3 linked regions of the Caenorhabditis elegans genome follow. The protein of the gene in region 2 interacts with the protein of the main gene of each other region in a pairwise test. Each region holds a gene or a part of one and is shown on either strand. Other genes may lie near its edges.

Region 1 (7,362 bases), on a different chromosome or scaffold from region 2:
CAAGCAATGAAAAAATGGAATGTGAATCTTACATTTTGAAAGCTTACTTTATAACTTTGTATATCAATGGGAAAAATTAAAAATGAATGAAATCTTTTAGAGCTTTTGTTCAATGTTTCTGCTTTATATTATAAGAAAACAAGGAAATAGTCTAGAACAATAAGATTGGAAAAGTGAGAAAAATGTTTGCAATTAATGAGTCAGACACATTGAATGCCTACACTGATTACGTGTTTGACGTCACACGCGCGAGAAATGTCTCTCTTAGCAGAAAATGGCTGGAGCCACACGATGAACAGGCGGCAGAAAACAAGCTAGTTTTGGCGGACTCCGCGGAGCCACTCAAGCATCCCTTACGACGCACCGGTGGTGCTGCTGCTGCCTCGGGTTTGACACCTTGCCACACACCGATTATTATGAAACATTTCGATTTTATGGTGTCCGGGGTTCCGGATTGTTGTGATTGACCGAAAGAACAACGAAATGGAATTTGCAAACATTTTGAAATGAGTGCGGGAGGGCAAGAGCAATGGAATTGGAGCACGGAAGTGTTTGAGAAGCATGCGATAATTGACATGGATACAATGAGTAAGCGCACAAGTGGACAGACATAAGGAATGTTTTCAAGAGGAAAGGGCAACCGGGAAACAAAACTGAGTTGAAAATTAGAAGAAGCTCAGATTAGTTTATGAAGCAAAGTACTCATATAGGTACCAAAAAATTATTTTTTGTAATAACTTGTTTTGAAATGACCTACTATAGTTTACCATAAAAATTATAAGCCGTGCGGTAACTTTCTCGATTAAAAACTTTTATCAATAGTACAAAACATCCGTAATAAAACATTGCATTTAAAAGAATTTCGAAAAAGTATACAAAACAAACAATTAATTAAAAGCACAAAAACTGCGATCAACGTAAGTGAAAAAAACGGTTCGACCAATTGTAAGCCGAGCTTAACCACTTTTCCTGTCTCCTCCTCCCCCTACCATCCAAATGACCAACCAAAAACTAAGAAAAGAATCTTCCGAAAAGGGAACAAGAATTGCGCACAAATTAGTGAGGTGTAAGTTGTGAAATTCGAACTCGAAGGCAAAGAAGTGACAATGGGAGCCCCCACCACCACCAGCCAACAGTTCGTATTTTCGGCTCCGCGCAAGAACGACGACGTTTTTGTTTGTGACATTTGTTTTTTGAATAGGAAGTCTGTTTGAACAAATGTCGGATGATGAGGTTTCAAACGAGCTTAATTGTTTAAGTAATTTCTTGAAAAGGTTTCAACATGGAAAAGTAAATTGATTCAGAAACACGAAGTAGTCTGGGGTTATTTTTGATACATAACCAAACGTTTGTTAATTTCAAAAGTAATCGTTTAACTTCCTTTCTTATTGGGAAATGTACATTTTGTGGTAACTGAAAGGTTTTGCAAAATCTTAATAATGGGAAAAAATAATTTCGGAAAACATATAACAAAATTTTCGTGGAATGTGAATCCTGATGTGAGCTAACCACCAAGTCTCATAAAATGTCAAACTTCCGAACTGGCAGAAAATTGAAATCACGGGATTGAACAATCAGTTTTGAAATTTTTTGGGAGGAAAATGAGTGCACACGAATCAAGAGAAAACTGGAAAACTTTCTAAAAAGTTGAAAAGATTAGGCTCCGAAAATTAAGCGAACGAAGAAACAAAAAAGAAACCAGTGACGAAAGACTTTGGCATGACTGTGAAAGGATCAGGCAGCTAGAGAGAAAGAGAGGTGGAATAGCAGAAAAGTGGCAAAATACGACGATTCCAGAGTTGGCGAGAAGCATGCTGATCGGCGGAGACGCACGCACATACCATCCGGTCATTGTTTGCATTTGCTCAACACGCCGCAATGTCCCTCAACGGGAGCCGCTACGGGAGAGTCCCTCCGGGCTACTGAGACTGTCTTCCGAGCAGCAGCAAGCAGCAGAAAAGAGCACAACTCAGGCGCTTTTGCGTATTTTCGGATTATCGACCCGAACGACACATGTGTTCGGAGCTTAATTCTGTAATTCTCTGCAAAAAGTGCACAAAGGGAGGTGTATGATCGAAGAAATGCTTTATAGAGAATGGTTGGAGAAGCATAGCATTACAAATCACAAGTCCGGAGCAAATAGAGAAAATAAAAAACATTAAAAATCATACAGGAAGTTACGAAAAATACTAGTCGACGACAATAAGCTCCGTTGGTTCTCCAAATGCGTGATCCGATGCCAGAGAGTTCAACGTGTCAACAGCTCGACCTTCTCCAACAACCACTGCTTTACCACGTTGCAAATTGACAGTACGGTGGTGGAAAGTTGTAGGAAATCTGTAGAAGTAAGTTGTTGAATGAATGAAAACTTAAACTAATAAACCTAGTAGAAAGCCGATTGACCATTGGATTCAGTCCCCATCCACTGCACATTCTGTCCATGATTCCTTCATGAGTACGATCCTTCAAGATTTTCAGTTTTCCATGTCTCTCCAAAACCTCGGCAAGTTCACGACAACTGAAATATGAAACATAGTGATTAATTGGAACTTTCTCGAAACAAACCTTGACTCGGCTCTTTGAATATTGACACGGAGCAAGTTTTTGAGATCAAACTTGTCTCCAAACATCAATTGCGACATGTACTCATCTGGTGTAATTGGTGGCTCAAATTCATTTTCCAAGTTTTCCTTGACAATATTCCATCCATGATCGAAAGCAAAAACAATGCAAGCACGAATCATATCCGGATGAGGAACTTCTCCCATTGGATGCATGTAGGTGAGAAGTTGAACAAGAACTTCGCCAGGGATCAAGTCTCCACGAGCACATTCGCGATGAAATTCTGCAGTGTAACGAGCAATGTATTCTCCATTTTGACCAATACAAAGCATTTCCTTTCCATGAGCGGCAAGTATCCCACTGTTGATGTAGAAGATGGTTCCACGGAATAGAATTGCAGACTTGGTAGTGTCACCCTCCTAAATAAACTACTTTATATTAAACTTTGTTCAACATTGGATTACCTCCAATTCAATAAATTTCAAATTGTTCTCGGGCTTCTTCAAAGTTGTCGCATCGGGCTTTGCATTTCTTGCCAGCAAGATAGCGGGGCACACAATTTTCGTGTAAACTTGACGACCACAGAAGTTCTCAGGTTCAAATCCTGATTGAATCATCTGGTTCCATGTTCCGTCCAAAGCTGCACGGAATGCAAGTTCACTGATAGCAGGCTCCAATCTATTCTCAATCGCTGCTTGAAAGCGTTGCAAGAATGTCATCTGAAAATAGTTCATTAGAAAATTTCAAATAAAAGAACTTCAAACCGGTCTGTAATTGTAGTCAATGAGATGTTTCGACAACTGATAAATCAAATTGTCACACTTGTAACCAACGGCTCCAGCTGTCAAACGACGGAATGATGCGAAAATTGGACGGCGAGTAGGATATGCTTGGTAAAGAAGTTCGAGGAATGCTTCCTTTTCAGAGCAAGTTGCTTTGATAGCTGGGCAATCCGTACGAGATGCGTACTCTTTTTCCGATTTTCCCAAATAATCCGACAATAGGGAGAGGATGTTTGAATGAACACGAATACGAGATCCATCGTCGAATTCAATCACTTCATCACCTTCCTCAAAAGTTGGGAGATCCAGGTACATCTGAAATAGTTTATAATTTACAGATCAATAGATTATAATCTCAAAAAAAAAAACTCACCAAATTCAACACTCTCATTTCAAATTTCAAAAATTTGACGTCACTATTCTGAATTTCCACGTTCAGAGGATATGAAAATGAATCAAATTTATAAACATCCTTATCAACAACATTCAAAATATTCGACTGACATCCAGTTTTGATTCTGAGTTGAACAAGAAGTTGCCATTCAGCAGGAGTTGTTGCTTGCACAGAAAGATATACACGACGAGTACCGTTTTCCATAACTTGCTTGACTCGAAACTGAAGTTTTTCGAAGATGAATGAGTCCTCTTCCTCTCCATTTGGTAGATTCTGATCATCAACGGCAATGAACACAATTGGATTCGGATTCTCCACTGTTTCCTCCACCTCTTCTTTTCCTCCAGCTTCTTCCCTCAACGCCTTCTGACTCTCCTTCAAAATTTCCAAATCCATTTCGTGAAAACTGATTGCAGTTTCAGCAGACAGAACTGACAGCTCCGATAGCGACATTGTTTTGATTTCGCTTCTACGTCTTGTAAATTTTGTGAAATAAATTTATTTTGTAGTTTTCTGGTTATTCGGTTGTTTTGTTGTGACGTGGTATTTGAAAAATGGAAGGCCACGGATGTCATTTTTTGAAAATTAATTTTGAAAAGAAACGCCAATTATTTTTTCATTTAGCCATTTTCAACTTCAACTGCGTCTCAACAAATGTCATTACACATTACCATACTTGCAAATCGGGAAATGAAGCTTTTGCAATGAGGGCGAGGACAGATGCGGGCTAGATGCACTCTTGTTTAAGCCTCGCCGTTATCCTCAGCTTCCAAAAATATTTTAACTAGTTAAAGGAAACACTTTATTTTGTTCAAAAATGTCAACATGTCAAATGTAGGAGAGCAAGAGAAAAGAGTGAGAAAGAAGGGGTTTTTGTGATGTCTCGTTAAAAAATAAATAAGAGCTATAAACCGTTAAAATTCGTTTTTGTTCAAAGCTTATGCAGGGTTGGCTCCGGCTGGATAGACTGTTGGTGGTGGTCCAGCAGTTGCTTGGTTTGAAGTGTGTGAAGAAGAAGTTCTTGAAGCAGACATTGAAGTCCAAGCCATGAGTGCTTGAAGACCATATGCTAGTACAAGAAGTACCGATACAATCTGAAAATATAATAATACTGATTCTTAAGTTTTAGTATCTTAAAAAACAAACAGTTGCCAAAAGGAACCAAAAATTGAAATGATAGAAGATATTGCAAAAATAGTAAATAGTGTTGAGAGCACTGCATACACAGAATGCTCCACTGTATGCGAGTTCCTGAAATAAATTATTTTAAAACTTTTTGCCTGCATTTTTATAACATTTTTCACATCAATGAAACATTTGATAGTAGAATCAGTATTATAGAAAAATTACGGTAGACAAGAAATCAGACAGGCAGGAATGAACTCGTCCTGATTATCATGTTAAAATAGTTGCAAATATTTTAAGAGACATTACTAATAGCCTAAATATATTCGAACCTATACATATTCTTAGCTGATGTGAATAGATATTGCCTATGGAGAGCGAGAGTTCAGCTTTTAGCAACATTTTGCAACATTTAGCAACATTTTGAGCACATTCTGAAGTCAAATCAAATAGTAGTACAAATCGATTTAATCAGCTTATTCTTTAATTTCCCGACTATCAATATAAACAATCGGCGACAACTCATTAAACACCTCTCAAATAAGTTGTAAAATTTCTGCCAAAAACGAGTGAAAATTTTACCAAGAAGTTACTGCATTCGCTATTGATTTAAAATTCTCACTCACAATAATCACAAACTGTCCCGATCTTGTAAAAGTTAAATCTAAGAAAACAACTGCAACAACTGCGATAGCCGCGAGAAATTCCAGAATCGATGTGAGGCAAATGAACCAAAACCATCCACGGACTCCTGGTGAAGCCATAAAGATAATTTGAAGAAGTGTGAGAAGCAGGAGTGCTGGTTTCAGCACTCCAGGCATTTCCATCATATCTTTGTAAGCCATTGTTTTCTGAAAAATCATAAAAGAGTTACTGAAAAAAAACAAGTAAAATATCAAAAGTTTCAAAAATCAATAGGGAACCAATGGAAATGAGGTAAAATCGAGTAAACAGAAACAAGAAACAGGTTTCAGAGTCAGCCGGTCACCGAAACATTCTGAGTCAGCATAAACTACCTTTTCAGCAAACACTCTTCTCTCTCATGATTTTGTGATAAAGTATTGTGTTCTAGAAAGACTCCTTTTATCGATTGGGAAAAAAGGACGAAAAAAGGAAAATGTATGTGAAGAACAATAAAGGAAGAAAAATAAAGAAATAATAAAAGTTGGGAAATTTTGAAAGAAAAGGAAAATGAGGAAAAGGAACAGAACATACAAATTCAAGGCGTTTGTTTTGTAAGCTTAATTCTATTTCAAAAAAACTTTAAGAAAAAGTGTACGATTAATTTTGGACGGCCAGTTTTAAGAGTCTACTTATAAAATTCAACATTTAGAAAACAAAAGAATATTGTGAATTATTATTATGAATGAACGTTATGCTTCGAATTTTTCTGTGAGTTAAAAAATGTTTATCAAAATTGGGGGGAGCAAAAATATTAGAGCCAAGACCAATTTTCGAAAAAGTTGTTAGTGCTCTACTTATGGAGAGCCTCCGATAAATTTCCAATTTCTCTATAAATTTCCATGATTTTACCAATATTGAGTATTTCTGAGTATTCAAAATTTTAAATTTCTGGTGACCAAATTTGAATATTGTACTCCTAGAAAACACAAACAATTGCTACTAGTTAAAAAAACAGCACAGATCACAGTGAAACACTAACTATTGTTTCCAACCACGACTTGATTAGGTAACTTTGATTTCAATTTATTTAGACATTTACAAACAAACAACTACGTCATTGCATGTATTTTCTTATGAAACACTTGATAAACTCGTGAAACTGTCTAAAATGTAGGAAGAAAGTCAAGTGACATTCACTATCAATATAACCTTCAAATTGTGAAATATTAAAAGTTAGAGAGCTCCGTGTGCAGGAATGGATTGTGCCACATCATTTATCCGCACAATGCAAACAAATAATTGAGTCATTTCCATTCAAACATGGATCACCACCATCAAACACACATTCATCGAAACGTGGAATATGTGTTTCATTTATTTATGCACGATTGGTTCGAAATATGTGCAACTAAAACTTCATTGTAAAAAATAACTTTCTTTTACATGAAAACGTAGCTAATTGTAAGATTATTTTATCATTGGACAAAAATTATTTGACTTTTTTTAATCTGGAAAAAAGTGGCTAACATCTAGGTTTCACATATCAAAACTGTGTATGTCGTCCAAAAAAGTATCCTACGAGTTTTATATTTTAAAGATGCTTCAATCGTTCGGATCAGAACATTGTTTAGGTTTTAGCCTACAGTAATCATAAAATTTGAAAAAAGTACCATATTTAAACAACTTGGCAGGTTGCCAAAACTTTGAAAAACATTTTGAAAATCAAAATATTTTGTAAGAGTTTATATAAATCATTACTGAAAATACTTTAACTTTAAGATCTAACTTCATTTTTTCCAAAAGTCTGTCCCGTTTAAAACACTAATTTAAATAAAGTTATCCCCATCAGGGATATGCGCAAATTATACAAATTAA
Region 2 (7,656 bases):
AACAAAAAATGAGCCAACAAAAAATTAACTAGAATTCGTGGCCTTAAAATGAGAAAGCTAGGCCACCTTCATTTTTTGACGAAAAAAAAACAGGAGCTCCTCCCAAAAATAATTTTTAATTAAAAATTCAGACACCGGAAATTAAAAACTGACTGGTCGGGGTTCGGGATCTAGATAAGAATTGCCAATAAATGTTGAATTCTAGGCCACCTCTTGGCCTCGAAAATCTTAAAATTCTTCCACGTCAAAAATTTTGAGAAAAAATTCTAGGCCACAGCTTTTCAAGCCTATTTTCGGGCCGGCGAAACGGACAAAATGGTGTTTGAAAAGTGGAAGGCGACACACATTCTCACTTGCCCCCACTACTTTTTCTGGCACAAAAAGCTCCCACTGGAATTCGGAAATTTCAGGATTCGCACCCCCATCTCTGCCCATATCTGTCAGGGGTATCTTTTTTTTTAGTTTTTGGAAAAGAAAAATGGGGTGTTGCTGACTAATTCACCACACTTTTTTCTGGTGGGTTTTGAACTTTGTCTGTGCCTTTTAGGAGGCGTGATGGCCTAGAAATCCCGAAATGGCCTAGAAATTTTAAGTTGGCCTAGGATTCCATAATCGGCCTAGATATCCCACGATAGCCTATAAATCCAACCGTGGACTAAAATTCGCAGTATGACCTAAAACCCCAAAATTCTAAAATTTCCAGTTTAACCTAGAAATCCGAGAATGGCGTAGAAATCCCAAGATGGCCTAATTATTCCAAACTGGCTTAGGAATTTCAAGATAGCCTAGAAATTATATTATGATTGGAAAACTCGAAATTGGCCTAAAAATCCCATGATGGCCTAGAAATCCCAGTTTGGCACAAGATCCTCAAAGTGGCCTAAAAATGTGACCGAAAAATGGCCTAAAACTTCCAATTCGGCCTTGAAACCCAAAAATGCACTAGAAATCACAATATGACCTAGAAATCTCAAGAATGGCCTAGAAATCTCAAAATAGTCCAGAAATTCTAGTGTTCTAGGCAACCCAAAAAAAGGCTTGAAAGTGCAAAAAGTTCGAGAGTATTGCAAAATTTGAAGAAAAAAAATGCTGCAACTGCACTCCACTGAGAAGCATACCAAATCCACGCCGAATACAGCAGAAACAGGAGCAACACATAATATAAACGCCTTCTGGAGAGAATATATATTTCTCGTTCAATTGAATATTCATTCAGAGCCACCGCCGGCCGGAATATCACATGTCTCGACACATATAAGTAGAAAAAATATGCAGATTTTTCTCGCCAAGAGCCTTCTGGAGGGAAAAATGAAAAAAAGAAATGAATTTATAGTCGTAATATTTATATGCGTGTTTCTGATCAATTTCTGATTGGATTTTAGCATGAAAATAGTGATAAAAAATTGGTTTTATGATTTTCGAAGAGTTTTCTAGAAAGTAGTTTTAGTTTTGAGATCATAGAGTTTAGGGGGAAAGGTGGCCTAATTTTCTCACGTGAGAGAACTAGATCTAGACCTAGACATAGACCTAAACCTATAACTAGACCTAGGTCTAGAGCTAGACCCAAACCTGGCTTAGAAAGACAAAAATCAAACGTGGTCTAGGAAAATAACTAGGCCACAATTCCTGATTGTGAGGACCCGTTTACCGTAAGGTTATTCTATGACCTAACTTTTCACAAGTGGCATAGAAACCCAAAAAAAACATTGGCCACAGTTGCAACTCAAAAAATTATATGGCCTAGAAAAAAAAGCTAGGCCATATCCTTGGAAGTCGCAAAGTCAGTATGCGGCCTAACTTACCAAAATGGCCTAGAAACTCAAAAACAATAAAAATTGGCACATTTTGAGCATAAATGACGTGTTTCAAATCTAGATACGACCCCCCTCAAAAAAAAAATGGCGGCCACCCTCTTGAGCGTGGGAAATTGCGAGGGAAAAAACTCTCATATAAAATGGAGAGGGGGTGGTGAAAGGAAAATTCCAAGGGATTATTACTTGCGCTCTATTGATAAACTACCAGTGTACTCCGCGTGGACAAGTTTCAACAAAGTTTTAGAACTTCCAGGTCACTCTGGAATTTTTTTGATGGCCTAGTTTTCCCATGGCCTAGAAACCACAAAATAATTTAACATTCCAATTTTGAAATCTTTCCGTATAGATGAAAAATTATTGTGTACTCCACGTGGACAAGATTTGGAAAACTGTTGCATTTTACAGATTTTTGTATTGTTCCAAATTCAAGTTTTTAAAAAAAAATATCTTGAAAACACTGAACTTGTTTCACCCCTCGGTCAAGTGCAATGGGGCGCGTTTGCAAAGTATTTCATTGAATTCTAGAACTAGAAAATATTTATTCTCGCTTGAAAAATAACAAAAATTGCACAAAAAATGGAATTTCCAACAAAATTTCAGGGCAAGCGATACATTACGAAACGCGTGGAGTGTGAAGCAAATATTATTCAAAAAATGTTTTTGAAGAAACTCGTACTTTTCAAATATTAAAACAGCAGTGAAACACAAAAAAAACAAATTAAATATTATGAAAAATCGATTATTGATTGATTTTTGGACGACGGGGCGTGTGTGGGGCAGGGCGTAAGAAACGGAGCATCGTTTGTAATATGAAAGAATTGAGGTTTTCGTGTCATGGGATGAAGAATAAGTTGAATAAATGGAAAAAAGATATTGGTGTAGAAAAGAAGAAAAGAAAATTAGAAATGCTTCACTCAGACTTCAAAATAGAAGCCGGGTTCCCGTAGAACGGAGCCATTTGAAACGGGAAAAAGTGTGTTGGCAATGTTGGAAATGGAACCGGAAGCTGAACTCCAAGCTGTTGGGCCATGGCGAAAAGTTCGAGAGCTGACGGCGATACTGATGGAATGATTGTTGCTGGAATTGAGATTGGCGAGGTTGTTGATGACGTGGCAGAGATGATGGCAGACGGGCGGGACACTTCAAAAGTGGACACTGCTGGTGACGGGGAGATTGCTGTCTCCGGGGTTGTGTTACGGGAGCTTGTCTGCAAAAAAAATGGGTTAGAGGAGACAGGGAAAGTTTTTTTTGGATCATGGCCTAGAATATGGCCTAAAAAATCCTAGGCCACGGCAGAAATTTTCGTGGCCTAGAAATTTGTGTCTAGACTTAGACCTAGATCTAAACCTAGACCTAGACCTAGAACTAGACCTAGACCAAGACCTAGACCTAGACCTAGACCTAGACCAAGACCTAGACCTAGACCTAGACCTAGACCTAGACCTAGACCTAGACCTAGACCTTGAGACCAAACAGACACATGTTTGCCAAGGACTGACAGGTTTACCATCACTCTCAAATAAATAAAACTCCAGAAATTTAACCTCTAGATGGTACATGTTTATGACTTAACTTGTGGGAAAACCGGAGGGCGATTCCTTATAAGACCTAGAAAAAATTCTTCCACCCAGAGTACAGCGTGGCCGAGAAATTAAAACTCTCACCTCTTCATCGCGAGGGCTCATGCTGGACACACTGACAGAATCATGATTAGCAGTCGATGACGCAGAAGACGAAGCGGACGAGGTGGAGGCGGCCGAAGCTTCAGCGGATCTTCTTCTCAACTCCTTCCGCTTATTTGCAAACCAATTCGAAACGACTTGAGGGCTGACCACCTCCTTTGGCATCAACCCAACACCTTTCTTATCCATCTTCAGAACGTGATTGCAAGCATTCGCTATTTCGACTCGCCGTGGAAGATCTGGGAATGGCGTTTGTGTGAAGAACGATTCGAGCATTCGGATCAGAATTGGACGAAACACGTAGCGTTCTCGACGTTGTGGGATCAGCTCGCCATCTCCATTCGTCTCGAGGCGAGTTGTCGGATCGGCGAGGAAGGCAGCGAGTTTGTTGGGATGACGTCGGCAGTTCAGGTACCAACAGTAGATGTTCTTACGGCAACGGAGCGATAGTTCACGGTGGTTGCCGTTGAGCAATTTTGAAATGTACGGCTGGCTTACTCCTGGAAATTTAGAAGATTGACATGGCGCAGTGGGTAGCAACTTCGCCTAGGAATTCAGACGCCTCGGTTCGATCTCAGCGCGGGTGGGGCATATCGCAGTGGCTAACAGCGAAGGATAGATATCCAGGCACCGGGGGATCGATTCTGGTGCCGGCTGCAGAGAATTGCTCGCCTAAGATCCAGAGTCCCCTTTTCCCTTTAGCCAACTTTATTTCATATGACGTCATAGAAGGAATCAACTACAGTAATACTCAATTGCACTGTGGCTAACAGCAGAGATTAGGAATCTAGGCGCCGGGGATGTATTCTGATTTATTTCTGGTCACGGCCTAGATTTTAGAAAAAAAACTCTTCCACTACACTTTTTTGGGAACTAACCTGTCATCATTGCTACCGTAGTCTGCCGCAACGAGTACTGTGTGATGAACGTCTTCATATCCAAAATGCACGCCTCCTCGCCCTGCTTCATAAACTCCTCCAGCTCATTCGGATCGTCCAGTGTGGTAATCTCCTTCATCGGCGTTCGCTGACTCCTAATCGGCCGCGGAGCATTCGAGCATATCGGATGCTCAAATGGTGATGAGCAATTTGAAGATTGTGGCTCTGACTTCACAGGTGTCGGCACTGTCTGCACGGTGAGTTTGACTGGAGTCTCTGATTTGGGTGTTGTGAGATGTTGGACCAGGAGTGGGCTGTACAGGGCTGCGGCAATTGTGTTGTTATTCTGAAGCTGCTCTGGAACTTCCAGCTCGCCGAAAGCCTTGAGCAACTGATCGGATGACATCCCGGTGTGCTGCAGCTTTTTGATGAGCTCCAGTTGCTCAATTGTGAATAGCATTTTTTTTTCGTTCTGCAAAAAAAAAATAGTATGAAAAAAGTAAATAATAAATGTTGTTGTGTAAAATAAAATTTACTACGAGGTTTTATATCAAATATATATACCAAACAATATAAGGGCGTTGCTGCTCAATAACAACATGATAAGAGGTAGAAAAAAAAGATGGAGTATGATAGAAATTATATATTACTACAGATTTAGTGAGGGGGAAGTTAGGCCAGATGCCTGCTTTTTTTGGGCCTTAAGTTGTAAGAACCATGGTCCTAGACTTGGTAAGCCGGCTCACTGGGCTAAAAGCCTTCACCTACCAGGCCATTCGGAGGAACATCAGATATAGCATTATAGTAGACTAAGCATGGGGGTCATGTAGATCAACCCTCTATTTCAAAAATTTGGATATTTAAAAAAAAACTGTAGAAAAGTAGGAGACCAAAGTTCAGAGCATAGAGAACAAAACCAAAGGAGAAACAAAAAAAACAAGATCACCTCTCCAAAAACATATACATATAAGAAAAGGAATCTCGAATCAGGTCGGTGTGGTCTGGCAGATCGAGGTGGGGGGCGGGAACGAGCGTACTGGGGGAGAGAGACGCAGATGTTTCTTTCTCTCTCAGTTTCTGCGAAAAAAAAAGCACTGGGCGGAGTCGTAAAGTGCAGTGTTTACCCCGCTGGGGGAGAGAAGAACTACGGGAAAACTTGGGTCAGATGTTTGGAACACGCCCCTTTGGAAAACAATTTTTGAAAAAAAAATTGCAATTTGTCATGGTGCATCGTGGGGGTCAGTCTGGCCGCAAAATTTCAAAAACTAGAATTTTGAACTATTTTGAAATACAAATGTTCTATGTTTTGTCTAAATACAGTTATCTCTAACAATTTTTAAATACCAAGTTTTGGCAAATTGCCAAAATTCTGAAAAATATGAGCTTTTGAGGAAATTCAAAGCAATATCTTATGTTGCGGCCCTGTCTTGTCCTACAATGTTTTAATACAAATAATTAAAACAAAATTACATTATAAAAAATCTAGAAAAAACATTTTGGTCGACTTCCAAAATTATGAGTGGCAAAAACTGAGTAATTGTCACTTTTTGACTGTGAATAAAAAAATTTCAAAAAAATATTGAAAAGTTTTATTATGATATTCGGTACTTTTCGGACCAAAGGAGTGGTTTTTAACAATTTCCCCACTGGTGCTACTCCACCTTTAAGCCAAAAAATTTGCATAAAAAGAAATCGAAGAAAAAGGAGTTGCATTTTTTTATAGTTAAAAAAGTGTATAGAAAATATACAAGAAAATGTGTTAAGGTATGTAGAATGGAATATATAAGAAAAACAAGTCGATAAAACGCCACAGCAAAGAGCAGTTTTACAATCAGGTGGGAGGGGCCGGCAGGCGATCTGGAAAGATAATATATCTACATTTATGGCTCCCAGTCAACAGAGAGGCGGTTGTAAAACTACATATTTACGGAGAGGAGATGTACATTGGTGTTTTTTGGGGTGTTAGGGATATTTGAATCTAGGGCTATTTCAGACAAAACATTTTTATGCTAATTTTAGTTTTTCTGAGAAATTTTGGATTGAAACTATAATTTGAGTAGATTTTAGCATCGTAAATTTCAGATTTTTTTAAGGCTGAAAATTCCATAAAATAAGTATAGAATCATGGATTATAATGCTTTTACTGATATTTAAAAGAATTTTGTACTAGAGGGTCTCGCCACGATTAAGCCCTGTCACGATGCATCATGTCTCACAATCAGTCAAAAAATGCGCTAAGTTTGAATAAATTATTTAATCGTCAAAAAAGCAAAACTCGATTTGAGCCAAGAAAAAACGAAAAACTCAAAAATTTCCAGCAAAACTACAAAACTGAAGCGTTAAATCGTGACTGTCAATACATCGCGTACTTAACGCATAGCTATTCTGATAACAGGAGAGCGAGGCGAACTCGAGCAGGTCGTCACGACCCTATAGTCAACATGATAGGCTCTTGTTAGAATGACATGATTTTGGATGAAAATTTGCTGAAATTTCGTATTGAAATAGAGGTAAACACTCGGAACAATGTAGTTTTCGAGCGTGGATCTTTCAGGACATGGTGCATCGTGACATGTCCCAACATGGCAGGACCCTTTGGGACATGGTGCATCTATACCTCAACCAGAGTGCTAAGTTTCTTTTAGGACTGTTGCAGAAGAACCCTTCAAGGCATTATGGATCGTGACATGACCCAATTTGACGTTTTGGCAAATGACTAGCGCGGCAGGGCCGCGCCAGCCTTTCGGGAATGGGGATGCCCAAAAAGGTAGCTTGCGCAGGTTCTCGGCTTCGCCTCAAACCTGAGATAGGGATATTCGAGATTTCCTTAAAATTTGGGATCGATTGATTAAAAAACGAAGTCTCTGCTATGGTTTTGAGCTGAGATATGAGCGATTAAAGTTTGAGGAAATCTGGTTAGTTGGCTTGAGCGAATAACAATTTGCTTGGAATAGGATTAAAGCTGGCCCACAGTTTCCAAAAGTGTTCGGGCCTGCGGCCCTCAGCCTGAATTATTGAGCTAAGAATAAGAACAGTATTAAAAAAATGCAGATGCATCGGAACTGAACCTGTTATAATGAATACAAAAGTCGCGGCACCCTACCTAGCAATAAAGCATCTTTTAGGACATGGTGCATTGTTTCAAAACCCAAATACTAAGCTCCCAGCTCCACCACCTAATAATATGTTCAGGTAAAATAAGTTCATCACGTCCTAATAATCGTATGCTGGTTTGATGCCACTTCCAAAACCCCCACACTTTGTGACATTATCAAACCGTTG
Region 3 (9,554 bases), 8.5 Mb from region 2:
TTGGCATTCCACCTCCTCGTTTTCTGAACTTTCCATGCTCATCAACATCATCATATCCTTCGATGTATGTATCTGAAAAAATTGGAAAGTTTGTCAGTACGAAATAAGCAACTAAAACTTTCTTGAATATTAAAAAATATTTAGGTAGTTGCGGAATTGAACATCAAATTAACTTATTCTTCTTGTCAGAAACATCCACATATATCATAATTGAAGACTCCAAAACATTTTTCAAGATTTCAAAATTTTAGCCCAAGTTTTGGTAAATTTAAAAAAAAAAAAAAAAAAAAAAAAAAAAACATTTTACAAATTGTGACTTTTTGAGGTATTTTGAGCACTTTTGAAGACTGTTGACAATGTGTGAATAATAATACTTGAAAGGTAATTGAAATATGAACTAGAAATAAAACAATTTTTTTTATATTTGCTATTTACAAATTTCGGGAGTTATATAAATAAATAAAATCCCATTATAATGCATTGATTACCATTATTCCATGGAGGACGGTTATCCATAGTTGACTGGCTTTGACCATTTTGATGAGGTTTTCGGCTTCGAGACCTTTTTCGATCTTTCTCAATACCATCCCGGTGAACATCCTGAAAATTTAAAATTAGTAAAAATTAAATTAAGCGGGTAACTTACATATCGGTCAACGTTTGACATTTTTGAGATGTTTTTGAACAAATAATGAAAAAGAAAGAATGGTGAAAGGATTTCTTGAAAAATATTTTATGTGCTCAAATGCGCAGGATGTATCCATAGAGACAATTCACTTGCTCATGCTTTTCCAAATTGTATAGTCATGAATAATGGAAAAAAGAAAGAAACTTTGAAATGTTGAAGGATAAAAGCAAATACAGCATAGAAAAATACCACATTTTCAGGTATTTCAGGTATTGATTTCTACAAGTTTAATTGATAATAGCAAGTGTTTAAAACAGTTAACTAAAGATTTGAAAACATTTTGAGAAGATTTTTTAATTTTCAAAGATGCAAAATGAGATTCCGGTATTGTGCCTAAATATTTTTTCTTTTTTTTTTGTATTTTGGAATAATGCGATTATTTCAAACGATTTAAAGCACATTCTGCCTTTATTGCATTATGTTATCTGAAATTAGAATCCACGATTAAAAATTATATTTTTTGAAACAGTTCTAAAATGTGGAACATTAAATATAAAGGTGGCAAATTTGGTTTTGTCTCATTTCCAAATTTTCCAAGAATCCAGACAACACAAATTCATTGTTTTCTAAGCTTCACCGATGTTTGTTTAGACGTCGTTGTCGTATCTCATTTTCAATTAGGCGTTTACATGGGTCACCGAGATGTGGAAAAATAAAGAGAAAATGCATGTAATTCCTTGTTTTTAGAGATATGGTGTGTGTGTGTGTGTCTAATGAATGAAATCTGCTGTTTTTGTTTTCACTGATTCATTTTTCACATTAATTTGAAACTACGCTTTGTAAATAGTAGGTCAAAACATTTAACAAGACAATACATAATCTGGAATTTTTTTATCAAGTGGAAATTTATTTATTTTATCAGATTTTTTAAGAATCATGATATTTCTTTTTAAAAAAAGCTTCCAAAATGTACATATGTCTACATTTACACATCCCCTAAATTTCAAGAGGTCGGCAAAAAACAGTAATGGGAAAATAAACTAAAAAGACTTCAATTGAATTTTTAAGTGGAAATTTAAAAAAAAAACGCTAAAACGTCTAAATATCATTGTGAACCTTTTCAGAAATTTTTATTTACAGCCAAAATGTGGTGATAACTTAGTTTTACCAATCATAATTTGACAGTCGACCAAAAAAAATATATCATCAACCAGTTTTATACGTTTTTAATTTTGTTTCTATAACCATTTGTGTTTTAAAAATTCTATGTTTTTGAACATGAAGCAATGCTCAAAATTACTTTAAAAGTGCACGTTCTTGATAACCGAAATGTTGTCACTAATTCAGCCTGCAATTCTTTGAAATGGTTGCAGTATTTTGTGCAATTAAATGTATATCCATTTTCATGATTTTTTGTTAGCTTAAAATATATTCAAGAAATAAATATTAAACCTTCTTCATTTTCTAAATTATGCGTGCAGGTTGTTGTATCTTTCTCACAAAAAACTGTAAATTGTCAAAGAAATGAGATGGGATTGTAAGAAAAGTGGGTTTGCGTGAAGAGATTTGAAGCGAATTGGTGGGAAAAAGCAAGAAAAAAAGAAAATTGTTTCTAAAGTACTCCAATTATTGGCGGGAAATTGAGAAAACCGATCATAAGCTCAAAAACTAGATGCATCCTGTGAAAAATTGTGTGGAATTGAAATAATAATAATGTTAATAATGTGAGAAAAAACTGGGAGAAATTGGGGGAAAAAATAGAGAAAGAGAGACAAAAAATTCATAGTCATGGAATTCATATAAAGTTTAAAAGAACATAAAAAAGCAAATGAATGAGAAAGAAAAAGCCTATATGGTGCTACAGTAACCGAATGAAATTTTTGATGGGATGTGAATATTTGGGAGACAATACTGTACTGTACATAGAGAGAGACCAAAATAATCGAAACTTAAATGGGATGGAGAAAAAAATGAAATTCAAAGACCCGCTGTTTATATCATATTTTCTCGATTTCAGAGTTCTTAGTGGAGGAGGTGAAACTTTGAGAGAGTACAATATTCATTTAAAAAAATTAAACTTAATAAGCTGGGGTTTCTACTCTTGGTGGGACCGTGGAGACGACGTTGGAGAAGATGCTGGAGATGGCGTCGACGTCTCCGCTTGAGAGTTCAGACCTGAAATTATTTATTCATTAAAATCAAGGCTTAAAAATTGTTCAAAGATTTTTTAAATATTGTATATTGCAATAAACCTAGGCACCAAGTCAATTAAGCTATATTTCAAAAGTTTTTGAAATTTTTAGTTTTTGAAAGTTTTAAGATTGAGTTGTGTGAAAAATGATCTGATTTTTTGAAAATTATTAAAATCTCCAAAAAGCTTTCAGAATGTTTTTTGCATCTAAACAACCTTAAAATCACTAAAATAATGTAAAATCCGGATTTAGAGCAGCTTGACATGCTTGTATTTGAAGGAATGCTCTGAGAAATTTCAGTTCAACGTTTCAAATAAGACTAGGCTTTCTAGTTTTTCCCCATATTGGTCAACTAGAATTGCTTTTACATGTTCAATAAGTTATAAGAAAGTGTTTCCCATCAACTATACGAACGGATCAAATCGGCAATTTATCATTCGGTGACTTGACTCCGGGAGCAGCGCTCCTTTTTTGGACAAAAACTGAGTGACGAAGAACACGCGGTTTAGAAAAACGAGCACACTAATCCGTGGGGTCAATGAGGAGACACTTACTTCAGTTTAAGCCCTTTTTCGTTGCCTTTGACGTTTCGAACAAAATTATTACATAGAAAAGAACTCCTCTTTCTGAGCTAAAACATTTGAAAAGGATCTAGAACTTAAGTGTAGACCCTCTTTTGTTAATGCCTATCTAGAAGCTGTAGCTACTGAACTTTCCCCTTATAATGTGTATCAGAAAACATACACCTATTATCAGTAAATATGGGATGATTAGTGCATTAAATAGCAAAAAAACTGAGCGTCACGACAGGATAACAACTTTAAAATTAAGAGGATTACGTTTCGACTTTTCTTGTTCATGTACAAGCACGCACGGTGTTCAACTAGCTGTCAATCATTCGGAATACCCAAAAAAAGAATGATAAGAAAAAGCAGACAGGTTGCCATGTAACAAAATGTAAGAAAAGTGTATTCACCTGCTCACCTCACCTGCTTCATTTGGAGGAGTTGTTTGTGGTGCCAAAAGTGCAAGTTGTTGCCCTTGAGCAGCTTGTTGGGCTAGAAGTTGGAACATGAATGGGTGCATTGTGTGACGGAACAAAGTTGGATCCAATCGTGCCATTACTTCCATTTGTTTTTTCATTGCGTTTTGGAACAAGCTTCCCGTTAATAGATTTTCGTCTGATGATGGTGGAGAATCCTAAATAAAAAGATGTTTGCTAGGGGTTACCATTATTCATCATCTTGAACTAAATTACTTCACTTTAACAACTTTATGAAAAATATAAGCTGCCAAAAGGCACTGCTGTATGCTTCAATGTATCTTCCAAGTACAGTAACCCATGCCTAAACTTTACAATATGACCCCCTGATCTCCCATCAATTCCTTAATGTACTTTATGAAAATGTATAAAACCATCATTCAATCATGTTTGTTGTTAAAGCGGCACAGTTTTGTCGGCTGCTTCACACTCACCTCACAAGTTTGCACATACACACATACAAATGATTCATACTAGTTTACATCTCTATAAAATGTGCAGAACAAGATGAAGGGAGAGGAGGACTCTTTATTTGCCCCTACTAAACATATAATAGTTTTTAAGTCCATTTCGTAAAACTGTTAGAATAAGAGGGAAGATGGGGAAAACTATAAAATCTGTACAATGTATTTTATGATCTAAACTTTTTTGCTCTCACCTTCTTTGATGAATCGTCATCTGAAGTGACATCGGCAATCGACCACATTTTTGGTTTACGCTTCGGACTTTCAGAATCATCATTTGGAATTGGGGATACTAGTTCTTTCTTCGGTGTTGTCAACTCATCTGATCCTCCAGATCCTCCCGAAGGCGTTGGTGATGCTAGATGTGGCTTTCCGAATAGGGATTCTCCTTTTCTTTCGGAATTTATGGATGTTGAGCTTGATGGACGGTTCATGTCATCATCATCGTCGTCTTCATCGTCATCACAACCATCGCCTCGTCGATTTTGTGGTGACCAAGTCATCTTGTTCTCCTTCTTCAGTCGTCTTCTGGCGTTAGCAAACCATGTCGAGACCTGTAATTAAAAATATAAATTTCAAGCTTCGGCTTTGTTTTTCGGGCTAGAGTTTATTTTAATAAAATAACTTCAAAGTTTTGGTTCAAACAATTTTAAAATCTAATTTTTGGCGCCAAGGTTGTGTGTTGTTGGTCTATTGCAACAAAATCAAACAAGTAGTAGCCCTATTTGGTTTGAAACATTTCTCGTATTGTGTAAAGAATGTCTCTCGAAACACATTAATTAAGCGGGGTACGAGGTGTCATCATCATCGCTTATCGCCTCTGTACATCTTTTGTTTCTCGCCCCTCTTTTTTTGGCATCGGTCAAAAAAGGAGACATTTGCCCCCGGGGTTTGATGGCCGGTGAGTGGCTAATGTTACAATAACACTGCGGGAAACACTGTCTACTACATTTTACAACAATATTTTTTGTGGTATTTGTAATTGATGACTAGAGGCGGCTCTAAAATCCCGTGTGAGCTAATAAATTGAGCAAATATTGTGGAGTAAATTACGAGATTACGGTTGGTAATAGGCTATTACGGCTATTAAATCATTTCACAGTGTTGCATTTACTAATTGTTGTCAAAACAAGAAATAATACAACATACCTGTGTAAGTGTCATTCCTGTACCAACTGCCAACATAACTTTATCAGCTTTTGATGGATATGGATTCTTTCTATGAGAATGAAGCCAATCTTTGAGTGGTGCAGTTGCTTCTCGTGTTGCATTTCTTTTCTTGATTCCATCTAAACCATATGGATGATATAAACGATGAGCATCACTGAAGAACATGGGCATCGGTCCTGGCCCTCCACCTAATAACATTTCTGGTTTCAGATCTGCTGGAATTCCATGTGGAAACATCGGAACTCCGGGGAAGCCAGCAAGAGTTGCTTGTTGAGCGGCGGCGGCGGCTTGAGCTTGAGCAGCGAGAACTTGAGCCATGGCAGGATGGAAATGAAATTGACCTAAAAGGTTTGGTGGCAGAATTCCGCGAAGTGCATCCGGAGCTGAAGTGGGTGGAGCAGGAGTCGTTGTTTGTGGTGTTGTGGGCTCTTCCATTTTGACCTGGAAATGGATTTACTTTTCTAGTCAGGTGAAGTGAAGGTATCCAAACGAATAAATCTGACATTTGGCATCTAAATTTTTTGGAAGGAAGTATTTTGAGACTGTGTTCAAATGTTGTCTAATCTAAGATTTATGTAAAAATTGGTAGGAATCGAAAACGAAAACCTTGTCCAAGCTTTGACAACTTCTCAACTGCAATTTTCTATATTAGACTTGCACCCCCCTCTTCCTTCACTTTGACAGTTTATATCTCAGTTCTTTGTGGTTTTATTAAAAAACTTCAAACGGACAATTTACTTGCAAAATAATTTTCTATGTTTTGGTTGTATAACACTTTTTGATAAAGCTGAAGGCAACCGAGATATAAACCGCCAAGCAGTGGCGGTGCAAGGTTAACATGGCAATTGGAAAGAGCAGGAAGTTGACTCCAAGTGTCAAGAAGGACAAAAATGAAATAAATAAATGTAAGAACACTACTTGAGAATATAGAAATTATAATTTAGCTTATTAAACTTATCGCTTAAAAACTGACCTGATTGGCAATAGGAATCATTGTGATGGTGTAGTAGAAGTAGATGTGTTGATCTCAGTACAAGTGCAGAAACAATAGTTGATAAGTATGATTATTTATGATCTGAAGAACACATTGATATCAGTTATAATTCCAGAGCAGTTTTTTGTTGAAAAAGATAGACAGAGAGAGTGAGAGAGAGGCAGAGAGGCGACGAAATCAAGAGGGAGCAAAGGAGGAGCGATTCAGTGATAAGCATAGAAGAGAAAGAGAAAAGGTTTGATTGATAATTCTTGAAGAAATTGAGATGATGTAGAACTATGTGGGACCTTATGTTCAACAACTTGTTGAGCAATCTCGATTTTCTGCAGATGCCCGCCCGGGGCCGTGTGTGTCTCTCTCTCTCTCTCAAGTCCCGCCCACCATCCAATAGACATGGAAGCCACAGGGCGGGGCCTGGAGAGTAGGGAAAGAAATTGAAGAAGCGCAAAAAACACGTGCGAACACGTAGATTTAACAAGATAAACCGGAGAAATTCACGAAGAGAAACGGAAAAGAATCGGAGTAAAGAGAAGTAGAAGAAGATGATGATGAAGGATACAAGAATCGAACGGAAAGAAAACAAATTGATGATATGGCAACTAAAAGAGATTGAAAGATAAACAATTAACCGTTCCAGCTAATGATTGTAAGAATGATGATGGTTTTGATATCTTACTATTTCATTGTTTAGTGTTATTATTTCCAAGTTTGATTCTAGAATTGTTATTTTTGTGCAAAAAAAATCTTTCGAACCTAATACCTCTCTACCTCTACCAATTATCAAGTTTGGGAATGAAAATTAAGAAATACAAGAACCAAAAATCTCAATAAATGTATTCACAAGGACGAAGAGCAAACAAGTTGTAAATTTGCTGGCTGGCTCACGAATGGAAACTGAAAATTGAAGCAAATAACGGGAAGAGGAAGCTTTGGAAGGATCATTGCATAGAGTTTAATCCGAAATATTGGCAGGATGAAGAGAAAAAAAGTATAAACATTTGAAAGTTAAAAAGTAAAACGACGGAAAATCTAGAGAGTACTATCAAATGACCCGAACACACAATGGCGCCACGAACAAAAAAAGGACAAAGGAGAAGAAGCTGAAATCAGTGAACTTAAGTCAAGAATGATACATCGTAGAAGCAATTAGGTAATGGTCAGAACGGTTTGTAGGGGGACAAGAATTGAGAGAATAGAAGTTTAAAATGGCATGTCTCTTGTTGTCCGAAGCGGGGTGTAAAGAAGTGTAGCTGCTGGATAGGGGGCGCCGGCGAGAGTAAGTGGCCAACGATGGCGCTGATGACGATGATGAAGAAAAAGAAAATGGAGAAGAAAAAGGTAAAAAAAGAGGACACGGTGTAATACATTTACTATTGTGTCAGTTATTGTGTTAACATCTCTCTTTGGGTCATTCGATCATTTAGTTATTACAACATGTAACAACAACACATATATAGTAACATAAAGTTGCAACAAAAAAAGTTCAATGGCGGAAGTTTGTACTAATACAGGAAGATGTAGGTACATATGAGCCAAACAAGACAAAAAGGTGTATGGTAGGGAGATTGATGTCAAACGATGATGAGAAAGCGATGGAGGAGGAGTCATTGGGCGGAGTCAATCGCCGGGGGAGGAACACGGGAGGTAGGAGGGTGTAGACATGAGGTCGCGGCACAATTTATGAGGAGCTGGAGCCAGAAGATGATGAAGCTGTGGAATTGAAGTAGAAGAAGCAACTAGTTAATGGGTTTTGGTGCTTTCCAGAGAGCGGTGTTGTTTTTTGTGAAAACACTGCTCACTTTTTTGTTAAATACATGGAATACGGTAGTGGTTGCAGAAAGGAAATACTTGGAGGTAATTAACGGAAAAGTTAAGCGTTCCGTTTAATCGAAAAAAGCGGGAGAAGAGTTGAATTCGACGGTGAAGAAGAAGTTGAATGTACCCAAGAGATTGAAGAACATTTGTTGATTTTTAAGAACTTCCAAAATAGTGGTTTTCCTAACTCATAAATGGGGTATTTTTCAACGAAGAAACTTGAAATGATCCAAACACGCAAGGCTTTTCCCTTTTAAAAGTTTAAAAGCTTCAAGCTAAAAACATTTGGTATAATTTTTAGGGATTTTCTTTGCCGCCGTTGTTTTTTATAGCTTTGTCACTAAAAAAATTTAAAGACCGTTAATCCAGAAAAATCAAGAGCAAAACCTGCTATCATAAACTTTTCATCGCGTTTTTTTATGAAAATGAAAAGTTTCTATATTGAATTTACTACTTGAATACCGAGCATTCGGATTATTACTTTGTTTTAACCAAGAGCAGATATAGAAAAATTGTCTGCCAGTATACAACTCTATTAAAGTTGCAATAATCTCTATGATACCCATAATATAAGTACGAGAGTGTTTTTGAATACATTGCCATATCTATAATTACAGTTCTTATTCTAACAGCTGGTAGAGACACCTTCTTGCCATTGTACCAAAACACATCGATCAACTCATACATCATGACACGTGTCTACAAAAAGGGGCATGAACTGGAAGAACTTTAGCAGGTGGGATATTTCAGATGGTACAACAATATATCTTAATCTGATCTTGCTATATAATATGGAAATTTATGTCATGTTATATACGTGGAACAGTAACCCAACTGTTAACATCGTCAATACCTGTAGTAGGAATTGATGAGATAAGACTGATACGCGGGACGATATATATTCATAAAAGTTGGTATTTACGAGAGGGAGAACAATCTAATATCACATTGTTTTTGCGCAAAGGAACATGAATTGCCGTTGTCGAAAAACGATGTATGGAGCCGAGGGGCGCAAAAAAAGTGAAATTGTGTGTTTTGTGTATGTTTCCTGTACACGAAGAGCGCGAGGAAAGAAATGTTCAAACACTTGACAATCCGTGTTAACGATATGTTTGTCTCAGATTATCGACGCTTAACACAGTCAGAGTGATGGGAAAGTGAGCATTATCGTTCGCTCGTTGGCACCACAACTTGTATTAGATGATCAAACTACAGTAATTGAGCACAAAAAGTGTTCTGTACCAATTGA

What was found. Proteins that work in one complex are often made in the same cells at the same time.
Region 1: the proteins of hmbx-1 (region 2) and C18E9.8 interact in a two-hybrid assay, tested with the Caenorhabditis elegans proteins (one large-scale study listed by BioGRID).
Region 3: the proteins of hmbx-1 (region 2) and irx-1 interact in a two-hybrid assay, tested with the Caenorhabditis elegans proteins (one large-scale study listed by BioGRID).

Annotation. Positions count from the first base shown.
Region 1 is NC_003280.10:8,983,831-8,991,192, forward strand, and holds C18E9.8 (DUF7754 domain-containing protein), read right to left. Parts: upstream 4,233-7,362; 5' UTR 4,192-4,232; coding exon 3,718-4,191; intron 3,660-3,717; coding exon 3,327-3,659; intron 3,282-3,326; coding exon 3,027-3,281; intron 2,982-3,026; coding exon 2,566-2,981; intron 2,519-2,565; coding exon 2,384-2,518; intron 2,338-2,383; coding exon 2,190-2,337; 3' UTR 2,070-2,189; downstream 1-2,069. Other genes in the region: C18E9.9 (MARVEL domain-containing protein), read right to left, coding at 4,677-4,832, 4,885-4,989, 5,490-5,708.
Region 2 is NC_003279.8:986,861-994,516, reverse strand, and holds hmbx-1 (Homeobox-containing protein 1), read right to left. Parts: upstream 4,847-7,656; 5' UTR 4,835-4,846; coding exon 4,375-4,834; intron 3,997-4,374; coding exon 3,479-3,996; intron 3,022-3,478; coding exon 2,725-3,021; 3' UTR 2,339-2,724; downstream 1-2,338. UniProt on the Caenorhabditis elegans protein: Transcriptional repressor which maintains cell fate asymmetry of AWC neurons in adults by repressing the expression of multiple AWC (OFF) genes, including srsx-3 in the AWC (ON) neuron.
Region 3 is NC_003279.8:9,534,396-9,543,949, forward strand, and holds irx-1 (Putative iroquois-class homeodomain protein irx-1), read right to left. Parts: upstream 6,572-9,554; 5' UTR 6,491-6,571; coding exon 6,470-6,490; intron 5,938-6,469; coding exon 5,476-5,937; intron 5,276-5,475; exon of another isoform or gene 5,136-5,275; intron 4,881-5,135; coding exon 4,521-4,880; intron 4,021-4,520; coding exon 3,810-4,020; intron 2,804-3,809; coding exon 2,724-2,803; 3' UTR 2,070-2,723; downstream 1-2,069. Other genes in the region: C41G7.7 (uncharacterized protein), read right to left, coding at 1-72, 489-600, 647-667.